Linked DNA regions of Xenopus tropicalis. The protein of the gene in region 2 purifies or fractionates together with the protein of the main gene of each other region. This does not show direct contact. Links are inferred from orthologs where the notes say so. Each region holds a gene or a part of one and is shown on either strand. Other genes may lie near its edges.

The links.
Region 1: the proteins of tmem9b (region 2) and flvcr1 purify together in Homo sapiens (co-immunoprecipitation; 3 studies listed by BioGRID and IntAct, counting the BioPlex papers as one, with this or other methods). This does not show direct contact. The link is inferred for Xenopus tropicalis from reciprocal best matches to the Homo sapiens genes TMEM9B and FLVCR1.

Annotation. Positions count from the first base shown.
Region 1 is NC_030681.2:14,316,294-14,328,784, forward strand, and holds the end of flvcr1 (feline leukemia virus subgroup C receptor-related protein 1), read right to left. Parts: intron 8,782-12,491; coding exon 8,714-8,781; intron 7,127-8,713; coding exon 7,067-7,126; 3' UTR 5,800-7,066; downstream 1-5,799.
Region 2 is NC_030680.2:4,064,648-4,077,329, forward strand, and holds the start of tmem9b (transmembrane protein 9B), read right to left. Parts: upstream 6,846-12,682; 5' UTR 6,742-6,845; coding exon 6,661-6,741; intron 5,672-6,660; coding exon 5,571-5,671; intron 5,439-5,570; coding exon 5,330-5,438; intron 4,881-5,329; coding exon 4,746-4,880; intron 1-4,745. UniProt on the Homo sapiens protein: Enhances production of pro-inflammatory cytokines induced by TNF, IL1B, and TLR ligands. Has a role in TNF activation of both the NF-kappaB and MAPK pathways.

The DNA.
Region 1 (12,491 bases), on a different chromosome or scaffold from region 2:
CCCTATTGGTCAAAACAACGCCTTGTGGACCATAGATTTAAGAGTAGTTGCAGAATTAAAGGGGATAAATGGCTACTTTAAAGTCTGGGGTAAATACTTATATGCTATCTTGGATATTGGATATTCCTGGAACTTTAGAGACTATGACTTGGAATGAGATAAGGGGGGGCATAATCAAATAACGCACTACCAAGAGAAGGCTTGAAACCACCACTACAACTCACAGCTATCTGCTCACCCTAAAGGCCCCCATACACGGGCCGATTCTAGCTGCCGATATGGGTGCTTAGACAGATTCGGCAGCTAATCTGCCCGTGTAGGGGCACTACCGATGGGCCTGCCCGACCGATATCTGGCCTGAAATCGATCGGGCAGGTTAAAAAATCTAGTCGGATCGGGGACTGCATTGGCTCATTGATGCGGTCCCCGAACCGACTTTGCCTATACCTGTCGTTATAATTTGATTGTTTGGCCCCAGGGCCTGGATTCTTCCGATATCGCCCATCTGTAGGTGGGGATATCGGGAGAAGATCCGCTCACTTGGCGACATCGCCAAGCGAGCAGATCTGAAGGTGTATTGCCACCTTTAGCTGACACGGATTGCTGATAACTATACAGGCTTGCCCTTGAAAAGACTAGCCTAACGAGTGCAGCAGAATAGATCAATGTATCGCCATCTACTGGCCGAGGGTGGTATAGCTGTAGATATTTCTCAATGTTCCAATAGCCCTATGGTTGTAGGTGTGAGATTACCATGATTCTCTGAGACATGGTACTGCAGTGTTTTCAGAACCATGTAGTGGCCCCCTGGGGGCCTATAAAATGACTTTGGGGGGGTAGCCAGAAGGCAGTGAGATTTGTGGAGCCTGTTTTGCTTTCCTAGATACTCCAGAAAGATCAACCTGAAATCAGTTTCAGGGGTGGCTCTGTTGCCATGGGGACAGCTTTCAAAGGTGGGGATGCTTGCTGGGGTTAATTTTGCATGGCCCTGCCGCCATGCAAAATTAACCCCAGCAAGCATCCCCACCTTTGAAAGCTGTCCCCATGGCAACAGAGCCACCCCAGCCAATTATTGCTATTTAGGACCGGAGCTGCCGGAGAAAGGAAGGAGTTATCTTCTGTCACCCAACCTCCTTCCACATCCTCCAAACTTTCCCCACCAGCTTTTCTATTACTAAAGGAAGGAATATGTATAAACATATGTATAAAATCATTCTAGGGGACCTGAGCAGAGAGGTTTCCTGCATCAGCAACTGAAACTTTCCATATTTTGTCTGGACCTTGGCCAAAAAGTATTACACAGGGCACTCCTGTTGCACTGTGAGCAACTGTACATTGTTATACAGGAGGGTATATGTCCCCTTGGCCGATACAGCAATGTTTTTATATGTCTGTGATACCATTTTAAACCCAAGTAAATTTTGGAGCTCAGATAGGGCTTGCATGAAAAAGTCCAAAAACCACTGCTATACGGTAACTGTTAACCATAAACCAATTCCATGAACTACAGGCATTTAGTATTTATCATGTTTGCCAGCTGGTTTTGTTCATTATTAACTGGAATATCTCAAATTTGTGCTTGTGGGGCACTTATAGAATAAGAATCTGTTCCAAAGGGCAGCCATATGCTCACAATGAGATAAAGTACACTAAGTCAACAGTCAAGTAAAGTTCGTCATGTCTCAGTAGTTATACTTTTATGTTTATTTTCCTCCGGTGACTGTGTATAATCAAGGAAACAGATCAGTTTCACCCTCATCAGAACCAGCTATGTCTAAACCTGTTTGTATTCAACTATTATACCTTCGTTTCCTTCCGGAAATTGAATATTAAAGCTTTCTTTATTGCCTGAAATCTCCAACTTAAATGTTTAAAGTTAGGAAATGATTGCTTTACCTGTAAAGACTGATCCCAAATATTTTTATATTTGAGTGGTGGCCAAGTTATTTGAAGGTTTGTTAAGGAATTATATTCAAGAGTATGTTCTGGAGTATGGTATTATGAGTAGGTATCAGCATGGATTTATGAAGGACAGATCATGTCAAACAAATATAATTGCTTTTTATGATGAAGTAGGATGTTGGACAGTAGGGGTGCATTTTGTCAATGGTGCATTCTTAGCAGGGTGCCACAGAGTTCTATACTGGGTCCAGCTGATGTAGTAAGCTCGGTGTAGTACCCAGCTATGTTCCTGGCAGTCTCCCTTGCCCCCCACCCCCCAATACCAATGGGTTCCAGTGATGCCGATGCCCCCATAAAGCCTCAGATAAACAGTAATGGGAACCATCATAGTACACACAGAACACACGTGGAGGCAGAATGATTTTTTATTGATGATGAGAGTAACAGTGACAGTAATGAATGTTGCATTGGTCCCAGACATGAGAATGGAGGGTAAAGAGGAGGGAGGGATACAGAGGAGGGGGGGATACAGAGGAGGGGAGGATACAGAGGAGGGGGGGATACAGAGGAGGGGAGGATAGAGAAGGAGGGGGGGATACAGAGGAGGGGGGATACAGAGGAGGGGAGGATACAGAGGAAGGGAGGATATAGAGGAGGGGAGGATACAGAGGAGGGGAGGATACAAAGGAGGGGAGGACAGATACAGAACATTATACAGTATTCACACCCATCCTTCCTGTACAGATATCACAGCATTTACCATATACATAATTATATAGAGAATTACAGCAAACAGAAATGCACTGTCAGTAGAAAATACATTGGACCAGGGGGGTATATTGCTTGGGATGTTCCATTTATCTACAGTCGCTCCAGTTACAACACTAATGAACTGGGGGCTGGTAGGTCAGACTATGGTATGTAAGAGTACTTCGCTCCAGAGGAAATGTTTCAGGGACACGAAAAGTTCATGTCAAGGTTAACTTTGCCTTTAAGCTTGTTTAAAAGACATAAGGGGAATGTGATAAAAGTTGCAAGGGAGGAAGTGCTCTGTACCCAGGACAGCTCCTTGCTGGAGACAACTGGTCTTTGTTTAAAGGAAATGTAAAACCTCAACACATATTAATGTAAAAATTGCTCGTCTGAGCACTTTTGCACTTTTTATTTATTTCAAACTACATTCATTCTAGTTTTCAAGATATTAGGAGTTTGTACACTGCTAATATAATGGATCTAAAGCAACAGCGCCACCTGATGTTTAAGCCTGGAGCTGTCGGCGCAGTAACTGTAACAAAAATAGCGCTGTTGTACAATTAAATAAGATTCAAATGGTGCCAGAAACAAATACAAAATAGCAGGGGATGCCCTTTGTCTGGCTGGAAGGATTTCTGTACTTCTGTACTGTATATTCCCTGTGATTGCCAACGCACGCCGAGAAGCACTTTGGTTCTCCAACTGTGTTTAATATTCTACATACCCCTATACTCTGTATTACAGGCAGTTCTTCCCCCTGATTAGCGTCATTTCTACTCTATCTAATATGGCTACAGAAGTGTATGCTGCATATTTCACAGAAAAAGTCCCTGTCCTGCAGAGCTTACAATCTATTTGTATCCAGAAGAAAAGAACTGTATATTAAGACTCCTCCTATGAGGGGCTGGTAGCTCTGCAATCGGCAAGCTCCTTTTATCATCGATATCCAATCGGCAGCCCCTTCCGCTCTTACTGTGCCACAAATCCCAGCATCCTCCAGAAGCTGCTGTAGTAGCAAAACAGCTTAAAGGAGCAGTAACACCAAAAAATGAATGTGTACAGTAGTACATAATATATTAATTACTTCAATACACTGTAGTTTTTTAATGTTACTGTTCCTTTAAAGGCATAAAGCCTTGTGCTTGGTCAGTAAATGACCCTTATATGCACACAGAACATACACATACAGGGTAATGGAAGCAGGGGTGTGGCCCTCTGGATATTTCTTATCTACAACTCCTAGCAGATATTTCAACAGTTAAAGAGAGGCAGCCCCTGATTTAAAGCGATAACAACACATTTCAATGCAGTGCATACCATATCCACAGAATACATTGTCACTAGGGCCAAGTTGCAACTTTCAGCTGCTAAAATGCTCCACAGACAATATACTGTATTTATAATTAAAACCAAACCCCTCTTAAGTGTTACTTTCCCTTTAAATGACTAAATGGGAGATAAAAGCTACTTGTAGACAAGCTATATGCCCTAACCCTAAGCAAAGCCTAAGGTAGTAGCCGACACATCCAAACAGCTGGAGAAAGGGTTCTGGGGTTAGTGCTTTGCCTAACTACCCACTGAGTGATTTGTAGCAGCTATAAAGCAATGTGTCTGACCTCTCTAAGGGTCCAGCTCCACCATAGCTGCCTTTAATATAGGGCCCACCCACACAAGCAGGTGTCATGTCTCTTTAAGAAAAAAAAATAATAATAATAATAAAAGCACAAGTGTCTTTTGTACAAAATCTACAAGAAATGTAAAAAATAGAAACTATAAAAACATTTTTTCACATAAATTCAATACTTTGTGGTGTGCCATTATATATATTATATATATATATATGTGTGTGTGTGTGTGTTTGTGTATACAAAAACTGTAGAATGAAAATCTGACACTCAGGGAAAATAAATAACGACCGAGATACAAACGCTCCATATAAAAACCTCCATTTCCCACAACGAATAGTGAAAATCACATGCATAGATTTGGGACATAGAGGCACCCACTGATTTAATCAGGTAAAGCTGCTCGGGGTGCTCTTCTGAGCACTTTACATTATTTTATATACATTACAGGGGAACTCCTGCTTTTTGTTGAGCTCCACACAACCCAGAAACCCCTAATATCCCTATCCCTGTAATCTGTTCCTTCAAAAAGTAGGAATAAATACCATTTTTATATGCTGAAATCCAGCTGCAAAACAGTTCTTCTCTTTCTGTATCATTTGAAATCCTGGCAGGGGAGGAGAGACTAAAACTGATGTTACAAATTGTAACAACTTCTCCACAGCTTACAGACAGCATGCAGGAACAACATAACCCATAATGCATTGCACTGTGCCTTATTGACATCATGTGTGCAGGGAATTGTGGGATTTGAAGGATGCAGGCTGAGGATAGAGTTTTATTTGAGTCTCAAAGTAGCCAGCCAGATCAGAAGGGGAACAGGGGGCGGGGCTTAGGGAACTGTTCCAAACCATATTACCGTACATTAAAATCATGGAAAGGCTGCATATTTTTTTAACTGATGTATATTGCAAAGTTACTTGAAATTATGTTTATTTTTTAAAAAGCTCAAGTTGTGTTTAGGTGGAGTTCCCCTTTAATGTACGTGGGTTGATATGCTGTATGTCCCCTTTGTTAAGAGACCAAGACTCACAAACCATTTAATATATCAGAATATACATTGTTCAGATTGTAGCAGAAATGCATCAGGAGACACTTCCTGCAACTTGCGTTTCTGGACAACAGAAGTGGGTGGTGTTCTTGTTCATGATATTACGCATTTAAAACTGCTAATGTCACGAAAGCAAAAAAACAAAAATAATGTCAAGTGCTCGGATGAGCAAATCTGAGAGAAATCTCCACATGTGACATCTGACTAAATGGGCTGTACAGCCAATAGTGCAACACCACACTGATTGTGTCATGCGATTTCACCAATAGGAACTGTAGTGTATCTGTTCACTGCTTAGTCCCCTAATATCTTACCCATAATCAGAAACAATAGCTAAAATCCTAAATGACTAAAAAATACACAGATACAATTCCCTTTTACCGTTCGGCATCCCCAGACCCTCGGTTCCGGATATCTCTATATTCACAAATAAATATTTAAATAAATATTCAGACACGATGACACTAAGCGCTGACTACAAACATTCTCATTGGTTATTTTTGGTACTAACACTGGGCCAAAGCTGACCAATGCACTAACCTGTAGCAATCAATCAACATTTTATTGGGATACTGCCTGAAGAACAATGACAGTAGGATTTGGTTGCTAAGGGTTACTGCACTGGTGCCAGTTTGCTCCATGTTAGTAAATGAGGCCTTTTGTTTTTCTGGCTAGGCCCAACCCCCCCTGCATCTCCCAGAACCTCCCACTGGGTTATGTCTCACTACTTGCAGAGGGAACAGGACACATTGGGCAGATCTATCCTTAGCCTGCAGTTACTGCCTTATTCCTACAGATAAACTGCACGGAGATTGGATAAACCTTAAACCAGGCTAAAGCAATCTTTCATTGAAACTCCCAGCAACCCTTTCTACCCTCGTGGCTAGCTGACAGTGCTGGGAGTCTGCATAATGCCTCTAAGAAGGAGTGTCTCGGCTAACATGCCGCTGGTGTGTCTTGTGCAGTAAGTTGCAATTGATTGTATTCCAGGTAATTGCCCTTTGCCCCAAAGCAGTGGAACATCACAAAGGGTGACAATATATCTAAGTGAATGTACTGAAATCAGCAGTTATCCGAGCGCGCCGGGGGTGGCCCAAACGCACACAGTTTCCCCTCACAGTGCGCACGTTTCCTTTCTGCCCTTTACCATTGGTGATGCCCAGATAATCAGCCCCGCACGTTGTCATGTGACCTACGCTTCCTCCCAGAAGACACGGCATAGGCTTTACTATCTACCAGCTTTGTGCATATTCATTTTTCTCAGTCAAGATACTAAAATACTAGCACCTTAACAGTCACTGAAATGTACAGGTCATGGGCAACTCATAACCCACTGGGTAGCCACAGGGGCCATAACATAAATAATATATTAGCCTTTTTTTTTTTTTTTACCCAACCCATTTGGCTTAATTTCCAATATCTGCCTAGAGCATCACTACCTGCTCTAGAAATATCCACTGAAAAACCTATATAAAAGGATATAATGACTAAAATAACAATGAAGAAGGCTTATGGGCAGATAAAGAACCCACGTAACTGGCCAAATGTCCTGCTGTGCTCGGTCCAATACAAATTCCCCTGCAGCACTGTAGTTAGCAGCTCCCTCGCGTCACGGTATTACCCTCATGTAATATGATGAGCAGCGGTATATACCGGTAAGTGCGGTGCCTTGGCTAGAGCTGCCTCATTGCTACAGTATCGCACACTTCGGGCCGCCCCACAGGAACCATTGTTCTCAGACGGCAGAGGAGGACTGGGTGCTTCCAATGGTTAAACCTTCTTCCTGCACAGGGACCTGTTAATACAATAAAATGCTGGTAAGGAGGAGCTGGGTACAATTTATATAGACACTGAGCCCCTTTTCATTAGAAAATGCCAATTCACTTCAAACTGCCCTATGGCAGTAAGCGCTGACAAGAATGGCATCCACATCAGCGCACTCAAGGAGCAGACTTTGGCCACTAGGAGACATGCAGCACAACCCCAAGTTTATGTTCCCGGATTTTACTTTTTCCCGGAATTGATGCCGTTTCCCCTGGGAAACATAAAATTTGGGTTCTACTTTGGGTAAAATGAGTATTTTCTGTCCTAGATTACCCTTGAAGCCCACCTTCCATTACAACACTTGATTGAGGTCCTAGATATTTTTGGAGCCAAAGCTACATAAGCAATTGCTTTGTAAGATCAGTAACTTGTTATGAGCTATTGGGGTCCCTGGCTAATCGGTGGGCCTTAAAGGGGAGGCTTAATTTGAAGATGGCCCCTGGTGCATCAAGGATTGCTGAAGGGATTCCATTTTCCTGGGAATGTAACCCTTTCTAATTGTAGCTATCCCCACATGCCCAGTAATGCCAGGAAGCTGCAGCAGCAGCTGAAGAAGCCATCTTTAGAGCTAAGGGTAGCGCTTATGGACAATCATTGAACTCCAGCAAACAGGTACATTTTCTAGTGTCTTTTTGGGTAAAGTTGCATCTTTATTTAGCTATTAGGGTGGGCAAGAAGAACTTATTATGGGAGAACGAAACCTCAACAAAAATCAGGGTAAAAATGATGTGCTTCTGTAGCAGCCCAAGGCCACCCCAGCCCTTTAGCAGGGGTGATCTGTGCCTCTGTAGATGCCCCCAGCAGCCCCCCATCTTTTTTCTCATGATTAACTGCACGTTCACTGTGTTGCTGTCACTTACTTAAGCTTAGGAACTGACTAAACTTAGCTTGTCAGCAGCAGCCCCAGAGCCCACTGAGCACGTGCGGTGCCACTGACACACAAATGATGGCCTAACAAAATCCAAGATGGGGTGCTGCTGTGGAAAACTGTAAATGACTGAATCGTAACTGCTATAGGGCCGCTGCACTGGTACAGTAAGTTTACAGCATTACTACTGAATTTATTTAGTTATAAGGCCAGGACAATTTATGATTAGGCAATAAACCTGTAAATTGAAATGTAAGGTGTCTTTGGGCTGTGTATATTATATGCCCATCTCCATTATAATGTGTATCATGGATCTACCTAGTATAAGCACTAAATTAAAAAAATCAGAATACCGCGCAGAAAAAGTGCTTATGTGCTACAGGCAGTGGTAGCTTTGTCTGTTCCTGTGCTGGGAGCTCTTCTGCTTGCACAGAGACACGGACTGTCTGCTGGTAGTGTGACTGCCCTGCTTTTTTCCCATATAGATATAGAAATTGACACATCAGCCTCTTTATAACTGATCAGTAGCCTCTAAGCACAATATTGGGAGAGAAAAAAAGGGCTTATGTCCTGCTGCACTGTGATCACAAGGTCAGAAAGTGCCTATCAAATGCCTAGCCCTAGGCTTCTATTAAATACCCCTGTTGTGTTATGTGCATGGTATAACAACAACAGAATATCAATACTTACAGATTTCAATTCTGACTTTGTGATTCCCGCATTTATATTATGTCTTTTGAGGTCGGATCTGATCAGAGCTGCAAAACAAAATTCACAAGAAAGAGTTTGAGTCTCTAAAGACTCTACATAAACAATTAAACATTAAATAAACCCAACAGGATTGATTTGCCTCCAATAAGGGGTAATTATATCTTAGTTGGGATCAAGTACAGGTACTGTTTTATTATTACAGAGAAAAGGGAATCATTTAACCACTAAATAAACCCAATAGGGCTGTTCTGCCCCAATAAGGGGTAATTATATCTTAGTTGGGATCAAGTACAGGTACTGTTTTATTATTACAGAGAAAAGGGAATCATTTAACCATGAAATAAACCCAATAGGGCTGATCTGCCCCCAATAAGGGGTAATTATATCTTAGTTGGGATCAAGTACAGGTACTGTTTTATTATTACAGAGAAAAGGGAATCATTTAAACATGAAATAAACCCAATAGGGCTGTTCTGCCCCCAATAAGGGGTAATTATATCTTAGTTGGGATCAAGTACAGGTACTGTTTTATTATTACAGAGAAAAGGGAATCATTTAACCATTAAATAAACCCAATAGGGCTGTTCTGCCCCCAATAAGGGGTAATTATATCTTAGTTGGGATCAAGTACAGGTACTGTTTTATTATTACAGAGAAAAGGGAATCATTTAACCATTAAATAAACCCAATAGGATTGATTTGCCTCCAATAAGGATTAATTATCCTATTTTATTATTACAGAGCAAAAGAGGAAATCCAATTTAAAAAAAATGTAATTATTTGATTAAATGGCGTCTAAGGCAGATGGCCTTCCTGTAACCCTGTATAATGGGTTTCTGGATAACGGATCCTATACCTGTACTGTCAGTGTATCTATTTTTTGGGGTGCCATGCTGCTTGCAATTCACACACACACACATATATATATACATACATATATATATATATATATTCACAATAAATAATTGCATATATTAAACATACATAAAAACATACAACCAATACAAGAGGCTAAAATGGCCCTGCCCAAAAAAATAGCAGTATATAATATATATCCCGACTCACTGAAACCCCGTTATAAAATATGAGGATATTAGAAGACATCTCGGAGCTCCATGACCTTTATAAAATCATGGAACTCCTCAGTGCCTTATAGTATCCTTATATTTTAGAAGAGGGGGTACATTATTCACTCTATAATGTATAGGTGGCATCCGGTATATACAATCGCATGACTTGTTTGAATCAGAAGAGGTAGAAATGTTGCTTGGGAGCAGTAACCCGGTAACCAATCATTATTTTCCTTGTGCTGTTCTTATTGGGGGTGATGGAGTTTAATAAGAGGAAGCCCAGCCTGGGCATTCTTGGCACTCACTCTTTGTTAGGCTGTCATTGAGTGCACAGTACACACAGGGATAGATACTGTATCTCACTTATGCAATAAGCAAACACAGTAGGAAATCTCTGGCCAGATCTAATGGCTGTCTCAGCCAACAATGGAACAAACCCATTACTGACTCACATTGCACAGCACTGTGCCCCTGCCAGCATTCTGCACCCTGGGATGTTGGCACAGCAGTTATGGCTACATAGCAACAACTACAGTTCTAAGCAGCCAACAATGTAATGAACCAATTAAATTAAAGTTATTGGGGGGCCCTTTATACTCTATATCACACAGGGCTGAAATATGCCCTATGTGATTATATTTAAATATATATCTTATGACATGTTCATGTGAGTAAGCTGTGTATTAGAATGAAGTGCCAGCTGCAGGCATGCCTAGGAACCTGTCCCAGCCGTGCAACCACCTACGCATTACTATTGACACAACAGGTGTGCTAAGGGCACCCTCCTCTCCATCCAGCTGAATAAACACACTGCAAGCAATTCCTACGGCAGCAGAACAAAGGATTCCTTGGAGCATACAATTAGCTGAGGGGTACAGACAAATAATGTATATTGGATTGCACATATATATATATATATATATATATTGTGCTGGCCAACCCTGGGTTATGTATAGCGTCTCTCTAGGTCATCAGGGAACACCCAGAACTCTGGGGACCACAGGAACATAACATTATATATATCATAATGCTGCATTACTAAGCACCCCTTTCTATTTATTAGTATCACACCCTAATAACCAACAGCAGCCATTGTTTAAACCTAATCCCAACAAGTTGGAACTCCCTGGCTGCACACAATACACACAATACACACACAATACAATCTAAAAAAAAAAGTCTTATTATTGAAATAAGAAACCTGATACATCTTATGGCAGGATATTATTTTTCAGTGAAGAAGGTATAACTGCACAGCCCTTTGGCTACAGTGAGCTGTAGCTCCAGCAATCCCAGTCATTAATGGCTAGAAGAGCATGCTGGGAATTGGTGTTATGAAAGGCTGGATGGCTATTGGTTTTATATAGCACATGCTGTAATATTTAGCCATACATCCCTTTCAGGCCCTGGATAGAATATTATCTATCTGTAGTGATTTTTCAGGATGGGGGAAGCAATTATCCCTTGCACCCTTCACTTCTTGCTGTGTTATAGCAATGTTGAGCTTCCTTTGAATGGTGCACTGCCAGAGCATTCCCCTGTGACCCAGCTATCCCAAACAGCACTGCTATTGCCTCCCAACTAGAACTACAACTCCCAGCTTACCAGCATCAGTGCTGCCTTTTGGGCATACTGGGAAGTTCGGAAACTATATTACTATTCCTTAGCAAACACCTTTCCAGCACAGGAAACCCATCCCTGTTTCCATGACGGCAGGTAATGTGCGTCGTGAGATCGGCGCTGTTGGAAGAGGCCCAGTTCTGTGCAAGTTATGTAAGTGCCTAGGGCCGCAAAGTCATTGCCAAACTATCACTAAGCTTTCAGGTAGGGCAGATGCAGACAGGCAGCACCCAATTCCTTTCTGCCCCCACCTGGCTGCTCAGACTTTGGAAATCAACTCTTTGCAAATGATTAGGTGCCTGGCAGTCTCAAAACAACATTGTATTTCCATTAAAGGGAAAGTATACCCACAGACTAACAGTAATCAGCAAAGCATATCTTAAACTGGTCCTAAAGGTGCCCATACAAGTTAATATTCGCTCACTTGGCGAGGTCGCCAAGCGAGCGGATCTTCACCCAATATCCCCACCTTACGAGTGAGCAATATCGGGGAGCGTGTAGGCGAATTATATTGGCGGCAATGGGGCAGTAGGTTTGGAGACCGCATCAACGAGCCAATGCGGTCCCCGATCAGACTAGATTTTCTAACCTGCCCGATCAAGATCTGCCCAATTTCAGGCCAGATATCGGTCGGGCAGGCCCGTTGGTAGTGCCTATACACGGGCCGATTAGCTGCCGAATCAGTCTAAGGGACCGATATCGGCAGCTAGAACTGGCCCGTGTATGGGGACCTTTAACCAGAAACGTACCTGACATAATCTAACTACAACAAGCAACATGCTGGGAGTTGAAATTCAGTGACATCTGGAGGAAAACATTGGCTTCCGTCATCCTTCCATAGCTGTAAATACCCTTTCAAGTCTGGCATTCTAAAGGTATAATTTGAGGGCATGAACTGTCAAACAGGGTCATAAATGTAGCTCTACATGAAAGGGTGACTGTGTATAAAAAGTAGAATAGGGAGGTGCTATGATACAGTACAGACAGAGACTAGTGGTCTCTAATATTCTCATCTCTCTGACCATCAGCAATAAGCTCTAGGGATTAAGGGCTATGGCACATATGGC
Region 2 (12,682 bases):
TAGCACAGTAGGAGAGTAGCCAATCACAGCCCTGCAGGCACACAAGCACACACAGGCTTCAGTTCCCTATCAGGTCAGCCTAGCTGCTGATTGGTCCAATATGGGTTTCACACAATACCCCCCCCCCCCCCCCCCCCCATGGCAGCTGTATAGATCCCATCTTTCACTTTCGATCACTCAGTCACTACTGGTTGCGACTGCTGGTGATTGGTTAGTGGTTTACAGCATTAAATTCAGGGGTTAAATGTAACTGTAACTACAGGATAGGGTTAAATGGTAACGAGTAACAATAGTTTCCCTTTAAGTGATCCCAAATGTTCCCCAAACACAGATCTGCCCCCCCCCAACTCAATTCCACCCCCCCCCAACTCAATTCCACCCCCCCAACTCAATTCCACCCCCCCCCCCTCAAGTGCAAACAACAAACACAGCTCCCTTTGTGCTTCCCCACTTACTATATCCGCCCCGAGATAATGTTTCCTGGTATTTGTAGGGAACACAAGGGAGCTGGGCGCCCAGCCAGGGTACAGCAAGCGCGTGGGATAGGGACCCCGTGTGTATTACTGGGGCACCCCCCCATTGTAAGCAGCAGTCCTGCCCTGCTTTATGGCTGAGATTCTAGCTATCTGTATAACAGAGCATTCTGTCACAGTGGCACAGATCCTATCTGATCCCCCCATTGTAAGCAGCAGTCCTGCCCTGCTTTATGGCTGAGATTCTAGCTATCTGTATAACAGAGCATTCTGTCACAGTGGCACAGATCCTATCTGATCCCCCCATTGTAAGCAGCAGTCCTGCCCTGCTTTATGGCTGAGATTCTAGCTATCTGTATAACAGAGCATTCTGTCACAGTGGCACAGATCCTATCTGATCCCCCCCATTGTAAGCAGCAGTCCTGCCCTGCTTTATGGCTGAGATTCTAGCTATCTGTATAACAGAGCATTCTGTCACAGTGGCACAGATCCTATCTGATCCCCCCATTGTAAGCAGCAGTCCTGCCCTGCTTTATGGCTGAGATTCTAGCTATCTGTATAACAGAGCATTCTGTCACAGTGGCACAGATCCTATCTGATCCCCCCCATTGTAAGCAGCAGTCCTGCCCTGCTTTATGGCTGAGATTCTAGCTATCTGTATAACAGAGCATTCTGTCACAGTGGCACAGATCCTATCTGATCCCCCCATTGTAAGCAGCAGTCCTGCCCTGCTTTATGGCTGAGATTCTAGCTATCTGTATAACAGAGCATTCTGCCACAGTGGCACAGATCCTATCTGATCCCCCCATTGTAAGCAGCAGTCCTGCCCTGCTTTATGGCTGAGATTCTAGCTATCTGTATAACAGAGCATTCTGTCACAGTGACACAGATCCTATCTGATCCCCCCATTGTAAGCAGCAGTCCTGCCCTGCTTTATGGCTGAGATTCTAGCTATCTGTATAACAGAGCATTCTGTCACAGTGGCACAGATCCTATCTGATCCCCCCCCCCCATTGTAAGCAGCAGTCCTGCCCTGCTTTATGGCTGAGATTCTAGCTATCTGTATAACAGAGCATTCTGTCACAGTGGCACAGATCCTATCTGATCCCCCCATTGTAAGCAGCAGTCCTGCCCTGCTTTATGGCTGAGATTCTAGCTATCTGTATAACAGAGCATTCTGTCACAGTGGCACAGATCCTATCTGATCCCCCCATTGTAAGCAGCAGTCCTGCCCTGCTTTATGGCTGAGATTCTAGCTATCTGTATAACAGAGCATTCTGTCACAGTGGCACAGATCCTATCTGATCCCCCCCATTGTAAGCAGCAGTCCTGCCCTGCTTTATGGCTGAGATTCTAGCTATCTGTATAACAGAGCATTCTGTCACAGTGGCACAGATCCTATCTGATCCCCCCCATTGTAAGCAGCAGTCCTGCCCTGCTTTATGGCTGAGATTCTAGCTATCTGTATAACAGAGCATTCTGTCACAGTGGCACAGATCCTATCTGATCCCCCCATTGTAAGCAGCAGTCCTGCCCTGCTTTATGGCTGAGATTCTAGCTATCTGTATAACAGAGCATTCTGTCACAGTGGCACAGATCCTATCTGATCCCCCCCATTGTAAGCAGCAGTCCTGCCCTGCTTTATGGCTGAGATTCTAGCTATCTGTATAACAGAGCATTCTGTCACAGTGGCACAGATCCTATCTGATCCCCCCATTGTAAGCAGCAGTCCTGCCCTGCTTTATGGCACATTGTGTGCTTACTAACAAACCATCGAAATCAAAGACTGCTGGCAAGCAAAGGGTTAACACACCATAATAATAAAGGAAACCCTTTCCCTAGAGCACCCTGGGACACCTGTCTCTGCCCTGACATTACAAGCTGTACATCCAGGCATTCATTTCAATCTGATTCTCCTCGAGTCTTTTCATTTAAGACTAATTAGTCCCTAATAAGGCTGAATGCAAACAGGAGTAACTGAAGGCCGAGGACACTGATTAAGAAGCCCCTAATTATACCCCCCCCCCCCCCCCCCGGCTGTTATTAGGAACGGCACGTCCCGGCGCAATGCTGCGATTTCCATTATACAATTACTGACTGCGCTGAGACAGAACAGGACAAATAAATATCCACGATCCCCCCCCAGCACTGAGAAAAGCAGGAAATATTCCTGATATTTAGCTAATAGTCTGCACAATGGCTCTGTGTGATTATGGTAAATACAGAGAGCGGGATCAGCGCTGCTTTGGAAACACACACACCAGATTATTGGTTATCTGATATATTCAATCATTAACAAACCCAAACTCTATCCAGATATACAGAGAGGGAATGTTCTGGGCACACAATAAGCTGTACCCCCATACTGTACTGTCTAAGGGAAACACTATGGCACCCCCTACCCATATGTATAAATACAAATATACAGAGAGGGAATGCTCTGGGCACACAATAAGCTGTACCCCCATACTGTACTGTCTAAGGGAAACACTATGGCACCCCCTACCCATATGTATAAATACAAATATACAGAGAGGGAATGTTCTGGGCACACAATAAGCTGTACCCCCATACTGTACTGTCTAAGGGAAACACTATGGCACCCCCTACCCATATGTATAAATACAAATATACAGAGAAGGAATGTTCTGGGCACACAATAAGCTGTACCCCCATACTGTACTGTCTAAGGGAAACACTATGGTACCTCCTACCCATATGTATAAATACAAATATACAGAGAAGGGAATGTTCTGGGCACACAATAAGCTCCACCCCCATACTGTACTGTCTAAGGGAAACACTATGGCACCCCCTACCCATATGTATAAATACAAATATACAGAGAGGGAATGTTCTGGGCACACAATAAGCTGTACCCCCATACTGTACTGTCTAAGGGAAACACTATGGCACCCCCCCCCCAAATATACAGAGAGGGAATGTTCTGGGCACACAATAAGCTGTACCCCCATACTGTACTGTCTAAGGGAAACACTATGGCACCCCCTACCCATATGTATAAATACAAATATACAGAGAGGGAATGTTCTGGGCACACAATAAGCTGTACCCCCATACTGTACTGTCTAAGGGAAACACTATGGCACCCCCTACCCATATGTATAAATACAAATATACAGAGAGGGAATGTTCTGGGCACACAATAAGCTGTACCCCCATACTGTACTGTCTAAGGGAAACACTATGGCACCCCCCCCCCCCAAATATACAGAGAGGGAATGTTCTGGGCACACAATAAGCTGTACCCCCATACTGTACTGTCTAAGGGAAACACTATGGCACCCCCTACCCATATGTATAAATACAAATATACAGAGAGGGAATGTTCTGGGCACACAATAAGCTGTACCCCCATACTGTACTGTCTAAGGGAAACACTATGGCACCCCCCCCCCAAATATACAGAGAGGGAATGTTCTGGGCACACAATAAGCTGTACCCCCATACTGTACTGTCTAAGGGAAACACTATGGCACCCCCTACCCATATGTATAAATACAAATATACAGAGAAGGAATGTTCTGGGCACACAATAAGCTGTACCCCCATACTGTACTGTCTAAGGGAAACACTATGGCACCCCCTACCCATATGAATAAATACAAATATACAGAGAGGGAATGTTCTGGGCACACAATAAGCTCCACCCCCATACTGTACTGTCTAAGGGAAACACTATGGCACCCCCTACCCATATGTATAAATACAAATATACAGAGAAGGAATGTTCTGGGCACACAATAAGCTGTACCCCCATACTGTACTGTCTAAGGGAAACACTATGGCACCCCCTACCCATATGTATAAATACAAATATACAGAGAAGGAATGTTCTGGGCACACAATAAGCTGTACCCCCATACTGTACTGTCTAAGGGAAACACTATGGCACCCCCTACCCATATGTATAAATACAAATATACAGAGAAGGAATGTTCTGGGCACACAATAAGCTGTACCCCCATACTGTACTGTCTAAGGGAAACACTATGGCACCCCCTACCCATATGTATAAATACAAATATACAGAGAAGGAATGTTCTGGGCACACAATAAGCTGTACCCCCATACTGTACTGTCTAAGGGAAACACTATGGCACCTCCTACCCATATGTATAAATACAAATATACAGAGAAGGAATGTTCTGGGCACACAATAAGCTGTATGGAAGCAACAGATGGGGCGGTACCCAGCAGTGGATGATTGGCAGGTCTAATTACCAAGACTGCTACAGAGCTGACACTTACCCCAACTTCATCTTCACTCTGTATGAGCTGAGAATGACCAAAGAGCTTCCTCTTCAACATGGGCTCCACTATGGTCAGGTAGAACATGTAGAGGAGGAGCATCCCCAACACGGACAGGTAGATTATAATGGTCACCTGGGCAATGGCAGATGGGAAAGTCAGTAACCGAATATCCAGCTTCTTCATTTTCTATAGTTTTATTGTTTTTGTTAATGTTAATTACTTATCTTTCTATGCAGCCCCTCCCCTATTCATATTCCCATCTCTTGTTTAAACCGCTGCCTGGTTACTAGGGTAAAAGGACCCTAACAACCAGATAGCTGCTAAAATACCAAATGGAGGGCTGCTGAACAAAAACCTAAATAACTGAAAAAACATCAAAAATAGAAAAACAAAGACCAATTGAAATTGTCTTATTGAAAGTTAATTTAAGCTTCTCAAATGCTTATTGTTTCCTCCCTGTTTGGAGCTGGTTCTGGAGTCGGACAGAATATATTTCCAGGCCCGTTATTACCTATAGGAAAGGGGGGCGGGGCGTTACCTTGATGGGGAGGAGCATTACCTTGATGGGGGAGGAGCATTACCTTGATGGTGGAAGAACTTCTCTCTTCGTATTTACACTCACAGCGCAGACAGTAGGCCTCGACGTCGGCCCCCGGGACTGGCATAGGGTCCACCACATGGAGACAGTCGCTATGCAGAACAATATACAGATATTCATACTGAGGCATGTGGGTAACTTGTGCACCCCATTTACATTCCCCTGCAGAGAAGCTCCGCCCCCACAATATGGGACGAGCCCCAAACGAATGAAACAGCCCTTACCAGTCTTTTTGGGTCACGTTCTTGTTGAAGATGTTCCCTTTCTTATCCTTGTAGGGGGGGCAAATACACTTGCACCGGGCGTCCACCGAGCTCCCAGTATCCTGCAACACAGCACAGATTTCTATTTGCCCCGTCGGCAAGAGGCTCTGCAGCGATCTCATTACACACAGGGAAAGATACAGGGGGAAGGTTATACTGTTACACATATTACACCAAATTGCTAATTACCGGCGCAGCATGTGGATTCAATGGGTGTACTTACAGCCCTGCAGTTGGTCAGGGCTTCTGGGAGAACCAAGTTCCCAGCTGGACTGTGGGCGCCTGATTGGCTGCAGGTTTTGTGCTGATTTCCCTGCACTTTAGAAGCAGTTGGGGAAACATCTTGCCCTTTTTAGCTCTGCGCTGTCTCTTCCTCAGTCCCAAATATGTGGGACTGTCACTAACTGCCCCCAGTGACCCCCCCACACTTTCTGCCAACTCTCTTCCCTACTGATTCCTACAATTATTCATGGACCCCTACACTTTGCACCCCCCAAACTCCTCTGACCCCCACCCACTGACTCCAAACTGACCCCCACCCACTGACTCCAAACTGACCCCCACCCACTGACTCCAAACTGACCCCCACATCCACTGATCCCCCCCCCCCACCCACTGACTCCAAACTTACCTCCATTCACCCACTGACTCCAAACTGACCCCCACCCAATCACTGACTCCAAACTGACCCCCACATCCACCGTCCCCCCCCACCCATTGACTCCAAACTGACCCCCACATCCACTGATCCCCCCCCCACCCATTGACTCCAAACTGACCCCCACTCACCCACTGATCCCCCACCCACTGACTCCAAAATTACCCCCACCTCCACTGACCCCCACTCACTCCAAACTGACCCCCACATCCATTGACCCCCCCATTGACTCCAAATTTACCCCCACCCACTCCAACCTAATCCCAAATTCCTCTGACCCCCCCCCCAGTGACTCCAACCTATTCCCCACATCCTGACCCCCCTTCCCCAGTCCCATGATTACCCGGCCCCCCCAGCTGACAGTGGAAGAGACAAATGAAAGGCCGGACTCACCTTATCCCCAGCCCCTCCCTGCACAGCCACCGCCAGCAGAACCAACGCGATCCCCAGGAGTGCCCAGTACCGAGCCATCATCACAACCGGACCTACAGCTCACGTAATAGATCTGCTGACTACTGGCATCACAAGACGCTGCCCCACTTCCGCCCCACTTCCGGGTAGGAGTGCATCGCCCGTTTCTTTCCGCCCGGAGTCTGGAGGAGGGACACTATGGTTCCGGGACTGAATAGAAATAAATAGGTTGCGCATCTGCAGCCAGGAACAGACACAGGGGAGACAGAACCCCAATAACTCAGACACAGAGACTGTGATTTGCTCCTAAGTTACACTTGTGGGAGTTTAGTGAGAGCTGGGGGGGCAGCAGGATGCAAGCTCACTGGGCAACACTGAGGTCCTGGGTCAGTGCCCCCCATACACCTGCTGGCACCCAGTTACCCCCCCCCAGCCACACCCAAAGTGTATAGTTGCCACTATCTGCTCTCCATGTGCAGCAGGCAGTGCAGTTGGACTCAGTACCACTTTGTAATGATATCGGTCACACCTTGGCTTTGTAAAATGTTGCACTTGCTTTTCTCTTACCTTTATGTACTAACAGGGACACTGTGAGAGACTTTGGGGCCCCATACAAGTTATTTATATAGTCACTCTGTTTATTGGGGATCAGTTAACCCCTTCCCACTACCTGCCCCTGCGCTGCACTGGGTCAGTTTAGGGGCCCAATAACCTGAGGAGAAGTTCATAAAAACAGCAAAAATAATGAATGTGCTAATAAGTCGGTACATTGGGGGGCAGTGGGGTTTGTCGCCGCATTGGCTTTTGCTTGATACACAAGTTACGTAGTTTTCTTTTAGTTACGTACATTGCGTAAATTGTAACGTAACTTGTTCCCATAGGACAGAATCATTTCCATGGAGCCCATTATGGAGGCTGCGCACGTGTCAGACCCAGCGGCCGCTCCATGTGACCCGGTTGCCGCGGCACACACACTACATGACGATTATTCTGTGGTTTTCGCTGACTAATATTGATTTTTCTGTTCCAGCGAGGCCGACCCTCTCCAGTTGGACTGTGTTTCCATGGCAACACGATGAGAAAATCTTCTCTCCAATTTGTCAGTGACTGACTCATTCCATTCGCCCCACGAGGCGCCCCCCCCGGCCCACCTGCCCCTGTTTGTCTTCCCTCTCCCCCCACTCGGGGGCTTTAGTGCTTCTTCTGTAACGAGCCGAGAATTCATACCATTCATATTCACTGAAACAGCAAAATATAATAATATATATAAAGGGAATGGGCTCAGTTATGGGGAAAGGCTGGCCCAGTTGGGATTGGTTACACTGGGGAAGGGGCAGTTAAGGGGCGGGGGTCACTATATATAAATATATAAGGGGGGGCAGTAATGAAATAGAGAAAGTACAGGGAAGAGCGACTAAGCTGATAAAGGGAATGGGCTCAGTTATGGGGAAAGGCTGGCCCAGTTGGGATTGGTTACACTGGGGGGGGGGCAGTTAAGGGGGGGTCACTATATATAAGGGGGGGCAGTAATGAAATAGAGAAAGTACAGGGAAGAGCGACTAAGCTGATAAAGGGAATGGGCTCAGTTATGGGGAAAGGCTGGCCCAGTTGGGATTGGTTACACTGGGGAAGGGGCAGTTAAGGGGGGGTCACTATATATAAATATATAAGGGGGGGCAGTAATGAAATAGAGAAAGTACAGGGAAGAGCGACTAAGCTGATAAAGGGAATGGGCTCAGTTATGGGGAAAGGCTGGCCCAGTTGGGATTGGTTACACTGGGGAAGGGGCAGTTAAGGGGGGGGGGTCACTATATATAAATATATAAGGGGGGGCAGTAATGAAATAGAGAAAGTACAGGGAAGAGCGACTAAGCTGATAAAGGGAATGGGCTCAGTTATGGGGAAAGGCTGGCCCAGTTGGGATTGGTTACACTGGGGAAGGGGCAGTTAAGGGGGGGGTCACTATATATAAATATATAAGGGGGGGCAGTAATGAAATAGAGAAAGTACAGGGAAGAGCGACTAAGCTGATAAAGGGAATGGGCTCAGTTATGGGGAAAGGCTGGCCCAGTTGGGATTGGTTACACTGGGGAAGGGGCAGTTAAGGGGGGGTCACTATATATAAATATATAAGGGGGGCAGTAATGAAATAGAGAAAGTACAGGGAAGAGCGACTAAGCTGATAAAGGGAATGGGCTCAGTTATGGGGAAAGGCTGGCCCAGTTGGGATTGGTTACACTGGGGAAGGGGCAGTTAAGGGGGGGTCACTATATATAAATATATAAGGGGGGGCAGTAATGAAATAGAGAAAGTACAGGGAAGAGCGACTAAGCTGATAAAGGGAATGGGCTCAGTTATGGGGAAAGGCTGGCCCAGTTGGGATTGGTTACACTGGGGAAGGGGCAGTTAAGGGGGGGGTCACTATATATAAATATATAAGGGGGGCAGTAATGAAATAGAGAAAGTACAGGGAAGAGCGACTAAGCTGATAAAGGGAATGGGCTCAGTTATGGGGAAAGGCTGGCCCAGTTGGGATTGGTTACACTGGGGAAGGGGCAGTTAAGGGGGGGGTCACTATATATAAATATATAAGGGGGGGCAGTAATGAAATAGAGAAAGTACAGGGAAGAGCGACTAAGCTGATAAAGGGAATGGGCTCAGTTATGGGGAAAGGCTGGCCCAGTTGGGATTGGTTACACTGGGGAAGGGGCAGTTAAGGGGGGGTCACTATATATAAATATATAAGGGGCTCAGTTAGGGGGAAAGGCTGGCCCAGTTGGACGGAACACAAGGTCCAGTTGCATTAGGAGGGGCAAATCTACTTGGTATTCACTCCTGCGCCAGCCAAGAACCCAGTCGGTATCGGAGGCGCTGGTTCTGCTCTGTGTCTTTATATTCAGCTCTTTCACTCGCTGATGTTCCTGCCGATCCCCCCCCCCCCCAGTTATTATTTCATGAGTGACCCACAGAGCTGAAATAGGGAATTTCTCCTCATCGTCACGACCGGCCGGAGCTGCCAGCTCTCCCCATGGCGGGGGGTTCCTGTGTCTCTGGGCCCAGCCTGGGGGGGACATGCTGAGAGCTGCAGCCCTTTCATTACTCCCCCCCATCTAAATGTCACAGTCTGCTCTCACTTCCTCCCATATTAATTGCCCCACAGCGTGCGACTGGGAAACAACTTGCCCTGTATGGCACCGGGCTGGGCACAGTGGGGCCCCCCAAGCTGAACTGTGAGACTGACGCTTGTGAGGGGCATTATGGGCTCATTGGGGGGGGGCTGAAATGTCACATAAAATGTTCCCAATATAAATGTTTTTATTTCAAACTTTCTGTAAACAAAGTACAGGGAAGAGCGACTGAGTTGATAAAGGGAATGGGCTCAGTTATGGGGAAAGGCTGGCCCAGTTGGGATTGGTTACACTGGGGGGGGGGCAGTTAAGGTGGGGGGTCACTATATATAAATATATAAGGGGGGGGGCAGTAATGAAATAGAGAAAGTACAGGGAAGAGCGACTAAGCTGATAAAGGGAATGGGCTCAGTTATGGGGAAAGGCTGGCCCAGTTGGGATTGGTTACACTGGGGGGGGGGCAGTTAAGGGGGGGTCACTATATATAAATATATAAGGGGGGGGGCAGTAATGAAATAGAGAAAGTACAGGGAAGAGCGACTGAGTTGATAAAGGGAATGGGCTCAGTTATGGGGAAAGGCTGGCCCAGTTGGGATTGGTTACACTGGGGGGGGGGCAGTTAAGGGGGGGTCACTATATATAAATATATAAGGGGGGGCAGTAATGAAATAGAGAAAGTACAGGGAAGAGCGACTAAGCTGATAAAGGGAATGGGCTCAGTTATGGGGAAAGGCTGGCCCAGTTGGGATTGGTTACACTGGGGGGGGGGCAGTTAAGGGGGGGTCACTATATATAAATATATAAGGGGGGGGCAGTAATGAAATAGAGAAAGTACAGGGAAGAGCGACTAAGCTGATAAAGGGAATGGGCTCAGTTATGGGGAAAGGCTGGCCCAGTTGGGATTGGTTACACGGGGGGGGGGGGCAGTTAAGGGGGGGTCACTATATATAAATATATAAGGGGGGGGGCAGTAATGAAATAGAGAAAGTACAGGGAAGAGCGACTAAGCTGATAAAGGGAATGGGCTCAGTTATGGGGAAAGGCTGGCCCAGTTGGGATTGGTTACACGGGGGGGGGGGGCAGTTAAGGGGGGGTCACTATATATAAATATATAAGGGGGGGGCAGTAATGAAATAGAGAAAGTACAGGGAAGAGCGACTAAGCTGATAAAGGGAATGGGCTCAGTTATGGGGAAAGGCTGGCCCAGTTGGGATTGGTTACACGGGGGGGGGGGGCAGTTAAGGGGGGGTCACTATATATAAATATATAAGGGGGGGGGCAGTAATGAATAGAGAAAGTACAGGGAAGAGCGACTAAGCTGATAAAGGGAATGGGCTCAGTTATGGGGAAAGGCTGGCCCAGTTGGGATTGGTTACACTGGGGAAGGGGCAGTTAAGGGGGGGTCACTATATATAAATATATAAGGGGGGGCAGTAATGAAATAGAGAAAGTACAGGGAAGAGCGACTAAGCTGATAAAGGGAATGGGCTCAGTTATGGGGAAAGGCTGGCCCAGTTGGGATTGGTTACACGGGGGGGGGGGCAGTTAAGGGGGGGTCACTATATATAAATATATAAGGGGGGGGGCAGTAATGAAATAGAGAAAGTACAGGGAAGAGCGACTAAGCTGATAAAGGGAATGGGCTCAGTTATGGGGAAAGGCTGGCCCAGTTGGGATTGGTTACACTGGGGGGGGGGGCAGTTAAGGGGGGGGGGTCACTATATATAAATATATAAGGGGCCATACAATAAACTCTCTGATTCTATCATGAGTGATACTCAGAGTTCCCTGTATAACTCAGCCTGCAGCCTTGTGCCTTTATATGGGGGGCACAGAACCCCTCAGTGACTGCTAATATCCTTATCATTTACAGTAGGGGGTACATTATCCCTTATAATACATGAGTGATACTCAGAGTTCCCTGTATAACTCAGCCTGCAGCCTTGTGCCTTTATATGGGGGGCACAGAACCCCTCAGTGACTGCTAATATCCTTATCATTTACAGTAGGGGGTACATTGTCCCTTATAATACATGAGTGATACTCAGAGTTCTCTTATGAATATGACCCGGTGTTCTCAGTATTAATTAGATTTTCTCCTTCTGTACTATTATGGAGGTGGCAGTGAGTAAGGCTGCTATGCTGGTCCCAGAGAAGACCCTAATTAATACAGTGGGTGGGTGAGTGAGTGGGTGGGGGGGGGAGTGAGTGGGTGGGTGGGTGAGTGAGTGGGTGAGTTGGTGGGTGAGTGGGTGGGTGGGTGGGTGGGGCGGTCGATACACACAGGTTTCACACATGTAGTTTAAAAGTTTGCTTTATTAGAAATAAACTTGCCACAAAGACAAAGGGCACATTATACACATATATAATTATATCAAACAAATAAAGAGGTGTCGGGGTGCCCTCCCTTGCTATTTGCCCCCCCCCCCCAGCCCCAGTACCTTTCCCACCTATAGGAAACACATCATCGCTGTGCGCCGCTGCTGAATGTGTTCTACAATTTGATTGGCTGATCTGAATGAGGTAAAGGCAGCGAATGGTTTAGTTCATGCAGCTTGTTGCGCATATTGAGGTACTGGCCCTTTAAGGAGCGCAGGCAGCACAGCTCTAAGGTTACAAAAAATACGAATTCCTAAATATTTGTAGCAGTATAAATATGATATAATATATAATAATGCTCGCAGTTTGCTCAGGAGGCGGATTGTCTGCGCAGAGATGGCTTGTACTTGGGGCTCATACACACGGGGTTGAAGCGCTTTGGGCATAAAATGGCTCCGTGTGTGTGTAGCCTTATAGTGAATGGCGGGTCCCACGCCAGTGTGGCACAGTGCTTTGTGGTCTGGCCCAAATGTCGCTGCTTTATGGGCAGAAAAGGG